Saccharomyces cerevisiae S288C: one gene and its partners. The gene in region 1 interacts genetically with each later gene. Each region holds a gene or a part of one and is shown on either strand. Other genes may lie near its edges.

The links.
Region 2: mutations in CBP4 (region 1) and MRT4 together harm fitness more than expected from each alone (negative genetic interaction), as found in Saccharomyces cerevisiae (2 studies listed by BioGRID).
Region 3: mutations in CBP4 (region 1) and MRH1 together harm fitness more than expected from each alone (negative genetic interaction), as found in Saccharomyces cerevisiae (2 studies listed by BioGRID).

What each region holds. Positions count from the first base shown.
Region 1 is NC_001139.9:845,319-848,493, forward strand, and holds CBP4 (Cbp4p), read right to left. Parts: upstream 1,088-3,175; coding exon 575-1,087; downstream 1-574. Other genes in the region: YGR174W-A (uncharacterized protein), read left to right, coding at 1,337-1,423; ERG1 (squalene monooxygenase), read right to left, coding at 1,615-3,105.
Region 2 is NC_001143.9:424,524-427,452, reverse strand, and holds MRT4 (ribosome assembly factor MRT4), read right to left. Parts: upstream 1,212-2,929; coding exon 501-1,211; downstream 1-500. Other genes in the region: sphingosine N-acyltransferase LAC1, read left to right, coding at 1-158; putative ubiquitin-protein ligase UFD4, read left to right, coding at 1,578-2,929. UniProt on the Saccharomyces cerevisiae protein: Component of the ribosome assembly machinery. Nuclear paralog of the ribosomal protein P0, it binds pre-60S subunits at an early stage of assembly in the nucleolus, and is replaced by P0 in cytoplasmic pre-60S subunits and mature 80S ribosomes.
Region 3 is NC_001136.10:506,129-509,753, forward strand, and holds MRH1 (Mrh1p), read left to right. Parts: upstream 1-2,018; coding exon 2,019-2,981; downstream 2,982-3,625. Other genes in the region: LYS14 (Lys14p), read right to left, coding at 3,609-3,625.

The DNA of each region.
Region 1 (3,175 bases):
CATCATCCTAAACGTTCATAAAACACATATGAAACAACCTTACAGCAAAACGAACAGAATGAGCAACATGAAAATAAAACTCTGCCTTCCTTAGCTAACCTACTCTAACGTATAAGTATCTGAACAATTGGTTTAGATCCAAGATTCCGCGCTTCCACCATTTAGTATGATCCATATTTTATATAATATATAGGATAAGTAAGATCCCGTGAATCAAGCTGATAAACCGTTTTGACAACTGGTTACTTCCCTAAGACTGTTTATATTAGGATTGTCAAGAACCTTGACATTACCCCATTGCATGATGCAATAATCTCATATAAATAACAAGCGCAAGTGGTTTAGTGGTAAAATCCAACGTTGCCATCGTTGGGCCCCCGGTTCGATTCCGGGCTTGCGCAATGTTTTTTCCATCCCCAAGTATGGGAACTAAAATAGCTAAAAATAAGTATGAAGTTATATTTTTAAACCTATTTACAGTGTACAAATAAATAATATATCATAAATGACACAGACGTATGTTTTAGGATGCAAAAGTTCAAGCTGCCCTTCCTAATTGAGTGACCCGACCCATCTACCAGAAGCGCCACCAGCTTTTAACCTGCTTATCCTGGACTATTTCCTTTGTTTTCTCCTCCGTTTCAGATCTTAGCTGAGACAGTTCATTTCTGATCCTAGCCAACTCTTCTTTTTGCACCTCCTCCGCCCTCACCTTAGCAAAGTGATCTCTGCTTTGAACGTTATCACCGTTCCTTTCCCAAGGTGATTGAAGGGGGCCCGTCTTCCAAATTGGATCGTCACTTTGAGAAGTTTCCTTAACAATTTTCATCAAAGCCTGCTGCTCCGACTGACGTAGTTTTTTCTCCCTCTCATATTGTAAACGTAATTCTGGGGAAAGCTGGCTGATTAACTGTTGATCTGTTGGCGTTGTGTACTTGAAAAGCAGAAACCCGCTTCCAATAATAGCGCCACCAATTGCATAGACTTTCAACCAACGTACCCACAATGGTCTTTCCATACCCAAATAATGCTTATACTGTCTTTGTTTTGCTATTACTGCCTCTCTAGGAGTTATCGCGCACTGCATGTATATAAAATTTTATCTTGATAAAATACCCCGGGGGATGAGCAAAAAAAGGGATATGGGGAATGAAAAGTGAGATAAACTAGCAATAATCTATTCTAATAAGTAGAACATTCACAAAGACTACTATGGTGTAATTCTGAAAGGATTTACGAGAGCACAAATACTATTATGTATAATTCTGACTGCAGAATCCGGCAAGCTTGATTTAATATCACTTAAGGAAGTAATATCGTTAATTGATAACCGAATATGAATCTCAATGCATATTTTGAAGCATATCAAGCCATTTTTCCTTTTCTGTTGGAGGCATTTTTAAGGAAAGAACAAAAAGTATAAAACACTTCGGTTAATAATAAATGATATGTGAATTTTTTTGAAAATATGTAAAATAAATAAGTAATAAATAAAAATAAGATGTGTTTATCGTAATGTACTATACAAGCCTTCCAAGCCGACTTCTGTAATAAAAAAAAAAGGTGCAGCTTAATGTTTGACGGTTCCTATCCTCTCTCCCTTATAAGCTGTAGTTAACCAATCAACTCACCAAACAAAAATGGGGTGAATACTCTAATAGCTGTGATCAAAATCATAATACCTTCCAATAAAGCCATTGGTAATCCCAAGAAACCACGTTCTTCCATGTTCAAGTAAATGGTGTAAAAAGCGACAGCGAAGAAAACCCTGGTCAATTGCAAAGGCTTTGGCAAGACACCAGACAGAAATTCAACGGGTTTGTTGACACAATCGCCACCTCTTTGGAAATATTTGAAACAACCTTTTTGTAATGCCTTCAAGTTATCGCTGTCAGCAGCGAACAAAGAATACAAAGCCACTGACAAAACGTTAATAACGGAATCGTAACTCTTTCTTTCGAAATGGTAGTCTAGTAATTCATCCAAAACCTTTTCACGGTCGCTGAAGTCTAGGTCACCTATTTTCTTAATCAACAAGACAACATCATGCAAACCGACAGTCATACCACCACCAGTCAATGGATGTCTCATATTTAGAGCGTCACCGATAACACACATACCAGTGACGTCGTTTTGTCTAGCTGGCAAGTAGGAGTTTGGCATAGCTCTAAATTTACCTTGGCTGACGGCTTCATCAAATGAAGGACGTAGACTCTTTGGAATGAAAGGTTGGACATCCTTAATCATCCAACTCTTGATATCAGCTGGGACCTTTGGAGAGTTGTAAGCACAAAGGATTCTTGTTTCTTCTGGACTGATTTGGTAAACCAAGATTGGCATATGATCACTACCAAGAATAACGTGACCGTGCATAGGAGCAGGATTCTTAGCATTGAACAAAGACATACCGACAAACGAAGAACCGACAGTTGGAACATGGTCTGGGTGCAATTCCTTTCTGAAACGTGAAAAGATACCGTCACAGATAAATGTCAAGTGGGCTTTGAATTCCACCTTGCCACGGCCATCAATGTCAACCTTGGCACCAACAACCTCATTCTTTTCATCCTTCAATATCTCAATACAGTTACCTTGCACTCTAGTAACATTTGGCTCTTGAGCAGTAATGTTTCTCAAGTTGTTCAAGAATCTACCATGAACAAAAGCAACACCCCTTTCTCTTTCATCATCTTCGTAATCCTTGATGTGAATAGTGCTGTCTTCCAAGACCTTGTCATTACCATCTTTGACCAAGTCCTTCAATTTTTCAACTTTAGGGATATCGGCCTTGTAAGGGTATGGAATATCAACTTGTTCGCCGTTGAAAAAGACGGTATAACCGGTAACAGGATATGCTTCGATGTTGTTGATAGATTGAATCATACCCAGACTTCTCAATGCTCTAACACCACCTGGTTGCATCAATTCACCAACAATTCTATCAGGCATAGCCCAGTCACGTTCTACGATAAGAACTTTCTTACCCTTTCTTGCTAGACCAGTAGCAACACATGGACCGATAACACCAGCACCGATGACAATCGCATCGTAGGTAATTGTGTTGTCGGCATTAATCAATTCAGGTGCAACGTTAACAGCAGACATGACCCTTTTCTCGATATGTTTTTCTGTGATTTTTTTTTTTCAATTGTTCGAAATAACCTGTATTGTTCAA
Region 2 (2,929 bases), on another chromosome or scaffold:
TGAATCTTTATTGGCTGTTCCTTATTTTTAGAGTTCTTTACAGGATTCTATGGAGAGGTATTCTCAAGGATGACAGAAGTGATAGTGAATCAGACGAAGAAAGTGATGAAAGTTCCACTACTCCAACTGACAGTACTCCAACGAAAAAGGATATTTGAAGGAAAACGGTGTTTTTAAGTAGTATAACCATTACACATTAATTCTTTACACATTAATTCTTTTACGGTCCTGCTCTCACGTTCTTCCTTATTGGTTTATGTAAACAGGTATTTTTATAGTATTCTTTTCCAGACATACAGTGTTATCTTTTTTTCTTGCTTTCGTGCCGCTAAAGAGCTGTGAAGATCAAAAGTGATTTACGCTTAGTTAGCATGAATATAAATTCTCAGTTGAAAAGAAGCTATGTTACATTTATGAGCGTTGCTTTAGTATATCTATACAAAAAAAAGAAATTTTTATACAATGGTCTATTAAAAAAGGCTTCCAAATAATAGTTCAGCTTATTCCATGTTGATGTTAGTGCTTTCAACAGTGGAGCTATCGTTGTCATAGTAGGCCGACACCTTGACTTTGAATTCAGAAGCAGCGATACCGAATTGTTTCAGTATTAAAGCTTGACGAACATCTAATTTTTCTCCTTCAGTGCAAACTAAATATGGACTGTCAATGGTGATCTTACCAGCTTTGATTTTAGTTGGAATTTCAAATTTGTTTCTCATAGTTGGCTCTAAAGAATGAATCATTGGAACATCTTCCTCAGCTGGAATTTGACCACCACGTGAGTAGACAATGCCCTCAGGAATTGTAAATGTTAGTGGTGCTTTCGTGTTCGGTCTTGAATAGTCTGAACGAACGTATGACTTAAAGTATTCCTTGACAGTGTTGACATCCTCATCAGTGAACAATAAACCAGTGACACCGCTACAAAGCTTACTCAATTGATACAGATTTTCTTTGTATTCTTCTTCCCTCTTTTCTCCCAATGCTTTTTGTAAAACTTTCCTCTTACCCATAATTAACTTAGAGCCTGCCCAAGATGTTCTGATTTCTTGTAAAACTGGAGTTCTTACGTCGTCAAGATGTAGGACCCAGACGTATCTATAAGTATCTAAGGCTTCCCTCACTTCATCGAAAATTCTTTCTTTATTTTCTCTGCCCTTTTTATCGGTTTGTGCTAAAGTGACTAGCTTGGAACGTTTTGATCTTGGCATGATTCAACTATAATAAATCTTTTATGGACGATAGACAGTGATGTACGTATAGCAAAAGGAATCAGCTCTGCTTAGCCAAAGTACTACAAATATTTGCAACTTTTCAAAAGCTCATCGCATTTTTCTGGAAAAAAATTTTTTCTTTCACCTTCGCCGGGTAAAGTCCTAATGGTTGGGTTTTCTGAACTGAAATCAAATTGTGGGATCATAGCCAACAGTAGTTGGAAAGGGGAATAGCTTTGATCATACCCAGGGAAAGACCACTTTCTGGGATCGATACTTTCCTTTCTGTGTGCTTTATTAACAACAATATATCTCAGGTGTGAAAATTTTGGATAAACATTTAAAATAGAAGAGTAGCCAAGCATGTCTGAAAATAATTCGCACAACCTTGATGAACATGAGTCCCATAGCGAAAACAGTGATTATATGATGGATACGCAGGTAGAAGATGACTATGATGAGGATGGCCATGTACAGGGTGAGTACTCTTATTATCCTGATGAAGATGAAGATGAACATATGCTTTCTAGCGTCGGAAGTTTTGAGGCAGATGATGGTGAAGATGACGATAACGATTACCATCATGAAGATGATTCTGGACTTTTATATGGATATCATAGAACTCAGAATGGCAGTGACGAAGACAGAAATGAAGAAGAAGATGGACTTGAACGTTCTCACGATAATAATGAATTTGGCAGCAACCCCCTACATTTACCTGACATTTTGGAAACATTCGCACAAAGACTAGAACAAAGAAGACAAACAAGTGAAGGACTTGGGCAACACCCGGTTGGAAGAACACTACCCGAGATTTTATCGATGATTGGAGGAAGGATGGAGAGGAGCGCAGAGAGTTCGGCAAGGAATGAGCGGATTTCTAAATTGATAGAGAATACTGGGAATGCCTCCGAGGATCCTTATATTGCAATGGAGAGTTTAAAAGAACTTTCTGAAAACATATTAATGATGAATCAAATGGTTGTCGATAGAATTATACCGATGGAAACCTTAATAGGTAATATAGCTGCCATACTCTCTGATAAAATTTTACGGGAAGAATTAGAATTACAAATGCAAGCTTGTAGATGCATGTATAATCTTTTTGAGGTCTGCCCTGAATCTATTTCAATAGCTGTTGATGAACACGTTATACCAATTTTACAAGGAAAATTGGTAGAGATCAGTTACATTGACCTCGCAGAACAAGTTTTAGAAACGGTGGAATATATTTCTAGAGTACATGGGAGAGACATTTTAAAAACGGGCCAATTATCAATCTACGTCCAATTCTTCGATTTTTTAACTATACATGCGCAGAGGAAGGCTATCGCAATTGTTTCGAACGCCTGTAGCAGTATCCGAACGGATGACTTTAAGACCATTGTTGAAGTACTTCCAACGCTGAAGCCAATTTTCTCGAATGCGACAGACCAACCAATATTAACCAGGCTTGTAAATGCCATGTACGGTATTTGCGGGGCGTTGCATGGGGTTGACAAATTTGAGACTTTGTTTTCGTTGGATTTAATCGAAAGAATAGTTCAGCTAGTTTCTATTCAGGATACCCCCTTGGAGAATAAACTGAAATGTTTGGATATTTTAACCGTATTAGCGATGAGTAGTGATGTACTTTCAAGAGAACTGAGAGAGAAAACTGACATTGTCGACATGGCAACACGATCATTCCAGCATTATAGTAAAAGTCCTAACGC
Region 3 (3,625 bases), on another chromosome or scaffold:
CACGCAGATTGGCTGCTCTGTTTGTTTATTTGTTTTGGGAACGCGGTATTACCTCTCATTTCTCTGAGCGACTTTTCAACTTGGCGCGCCGACATTTGCGCTTTTTTTTACAAGTTGTCAAACTCTCGGATTATTTAAAAAAAAGGGTTTTTTGCTCTTCTTGTTCCCATCTACGGGTTTCACGGAAAAACTACCCCGAAAAAGAAGCACAGCTTTATAAAAAGACCGTATTAATTTGCTTTATTGGGTAATAACGGGGCATTCGGGACATACAATCATACGCTAGATGCTGCGTGTAATAATTAACATTGTAAATCCCTATCTTTTTTTTTTATATAAGTAGAGTACTTTAAAAAGAGTGGACGACTGAGTTCATATACAAGCAGACGCCCTTTCATTTAATCTCAATCTTGTTTCAGGCCGGCTTTTGTCCATAACTGCTACGCTGCGTAAAAAAAAAATAAGAGAAATTGAAAAATATGGGCGTCGTCTAAGGATGGTAACTAGCTTCATTATACTATGGGTCTTCCTTCTTTTCCAACGCTTCCACTTTGACCTCAATCTCTTCTCGATGGCCTAAGGTAGCAAGGTTGTGTTAAAAAAAACAAATACATCAGAGCAAGACACTTTTGGGTTTATTAGGTATTATAGGTATAGGTCAATTAATTTCTTATCTTTTGTTGAGAGGATAAGGGTAATATTAGCGACCCTTAAGTAATTTTTGTTCTGTTTTACTTCAGTTTAATAAAAGCGACTGCCGCCGACCTTACTCCCTTTTTTTTATTATGCTCCTCGAGACAAGGTCGCTTAAAAAAAAAAAAAAGCTTAGTCAGACATGCAATCAGCGCAATTTATGGAAGCTGGAAAGGGGGGCCGCATTTTATGCACTATCTCTTGAATTCAAAAAGTAATTCAGGCCAAATTAACTAAGGATGCAAATGAAGCGAGTACTGAACGAATAGTCATGTTCTGAATTTCAAGCATTCAAATTTTGCTTTTCAGCGCTGTTCATCTTAGCGCTTACCATAAAGAGGAATACGTAATTCAACAACGGAGTTGAAAAATTTTTAAAATCGTGCCGGTGTTAGTGAGAAGAGGATGGAGGGAATTAATACTTCGATGGAAGATGCAACTTGCAAATGTAGTCCGGTTACCAAGAGACCCAAACCTCTTCCACTTTACTATTTCTCCTTTGAGAAATATATCAGTTTGCGGTAATAGGTAATATGAAAAAGGCAATAAAAAAAAGAGATACTTGTCACCATCTCGTCTCCCTTTACCTTTTTTACTTAATCTTCTTCGTCGTCATCTGTTCCATCCCTTTCCTAGCTTAGTCTTCTCCGGCTAGTTCTTAGTGCGGTGAGCAAAAAAAATAGCGTTTTTTTTCCCTCACCAGGACTTTTTTTGTTAACCGAAAATCGGCATCTCTAGTTTTCCTGGACAAAAAAGGCAAAATGGAAATAAACACTCATACGAATCAGTAAAGATGTAAATAATCGCAGTAACGACTGCACAAGGATGTCAGAAAAAGCAGTTTAATTCCAGAAGTGGTTTTCCAATTTATCACACATGTACATGAAGGGAAATGTATAAATACGGTCTTCGTAAAACAAAGGATCTCTTCACCTGGTTTCTTCATTTATAAGTAGTGTCTTTTTCGGTAACTTAAGATATATCCTTATTTCTTTCCCACTTCTCGTTATTTCTTCTTTTTCCCTTTTCAAGTTCTTCTTTTTATTTATTATTAAGCTTATTTTAATTCTTAGATCGTTGTCACTATCTTTTGTCCTTATTGTTAAGAAACATTGCGAAGAAAAAGAATAATAAAAGAAACTCAGAAAAAAAAAAAGTTTCCTCGAACAAAAATATTATTATTTCAATAACTTTTTCTTTCTCTACATCCAATTTTTTGACCCTATTTTAACATTAATTTTTTGCTTTAATTTTAACTAATACCTAATTTCACTTAATATCTAATCATCTTCCTTTAACCCACAGAACAAAGAAGAAAAATAACAATGTCTACCTTTGAAACTTTAATTAAAAGAGGTGGTAACGAAGCCATCAAAATTAACCCTCCAACCGGTGCGGATTTCCACATCACTAGTCGTGGTTCCGATTGGTTCTGGACATGTTTCTGTTGTTACCTATTATTTGGTTTAATTTTAACATTCTTAATGTTCAGAAAACCAGTCAATGACAGATTCTTTTACCTTACCGGTATTGCTCCAAACTTTTTCATGTGTATCGCTTATTTCACCATGGCTTCTAACTTAGGTTGGATTCCAGTCAAGGCTAAGTACAACCATGTCCAAACTTCTACTCAAAAAGAACATCCAGGTTACAGACAAATCTTCTACTCTAGATTCGTTGGTTGGTTCTTAGCTTTGCCATGGCCAATTATTCAAATCTGTATGCTAGCTGGTACCCCATTCTGGCAAATGGCTTTCAATGTTTGTATTACTGAATTCTTCACTGTTTGTTGGTTGATCGCTGCCTGTGTTCACTCCACTTACAAATGGGGTTACTACACCATCGGTCTAGGTGCTGCTATTGTCGTTAGTATCAGTGTTATGACCACCAGTTACAACTTGGTGAAACAAAGAGATAACGATATCAGGTTGACATTCCTTGTTTTCTTCAGCATTATTATGTTCTTGTGGATTATTGCTTACCCAACTTGTTTCGGTATTACCGATGGTGGTAACGTTTTGCAGCCAGACTCTGCCGGTATTTTCTATGGTATCATTGATCTTATTTTGATGTGTTTCATTCCAACTTTATTGGTTCCAATTGCTAACCACTTCGGTGCTGACAAATTGGGCTACCATTTCGGACCTAGTGATGCCGAAGCAGTGATGGCTCCAAAAGCTCCAGTTGCTAGTCCAAGACCTGCTGCTACACCAAACTTGAGTAAGGACAAGAAAAAGAAGTCTAAGAAGAGCAAGAAATCTAAGAAGTCTAAGAAGTCTGAAGAATAAGCCAATCGTCATGTCAATTATGTGCTACTTTCTTCTTTCTTTCAATCATCTTTGAAGAATTTTCTACTTCAAGCCAATCCTATAAATGGATAAAACTGTCTTTATTGATTATTTGACAAGATTATTTTACTCCATCTTCAACTTTTATCATATTTTATTTTATTTTCCTGACGTTTCAATATTTTCGTTCGTTAAATTATCACCATTTCTTGTCGAATTTTTATTTTCTATCATAAAGTGCAATTCTAGACTCATTTTTTAATTTAATGGATCCATTTAATCCATTTCGTCAAGCAAGTATGTTTTCATAACAATATTTTGCTCAGTGCATTTTGATCAAGAAACGTATAGTTGATGATTAGAAACGAGCTTTTTTATGCCCATCGTCATCTATATATATATTTGTATCACTTTAATAGTTATTTTAATATTTGATAACAACCTTTCTAATAGTATTGTTATGGAAGGTTTAGTGCTGGAGGAAAAAAAAGAAAGATAAAGGCACGGTGCCTGCTTTGCGCGGCATTCTCGAGAAAAATAGTTCTCGGACTTTTGACGTGCCAGTGCAATTATCCGTACACAATTTTATATCAATCTACAGGCAAAATTATTACGTAAACAGACAAACTACCATGTTAAAACGT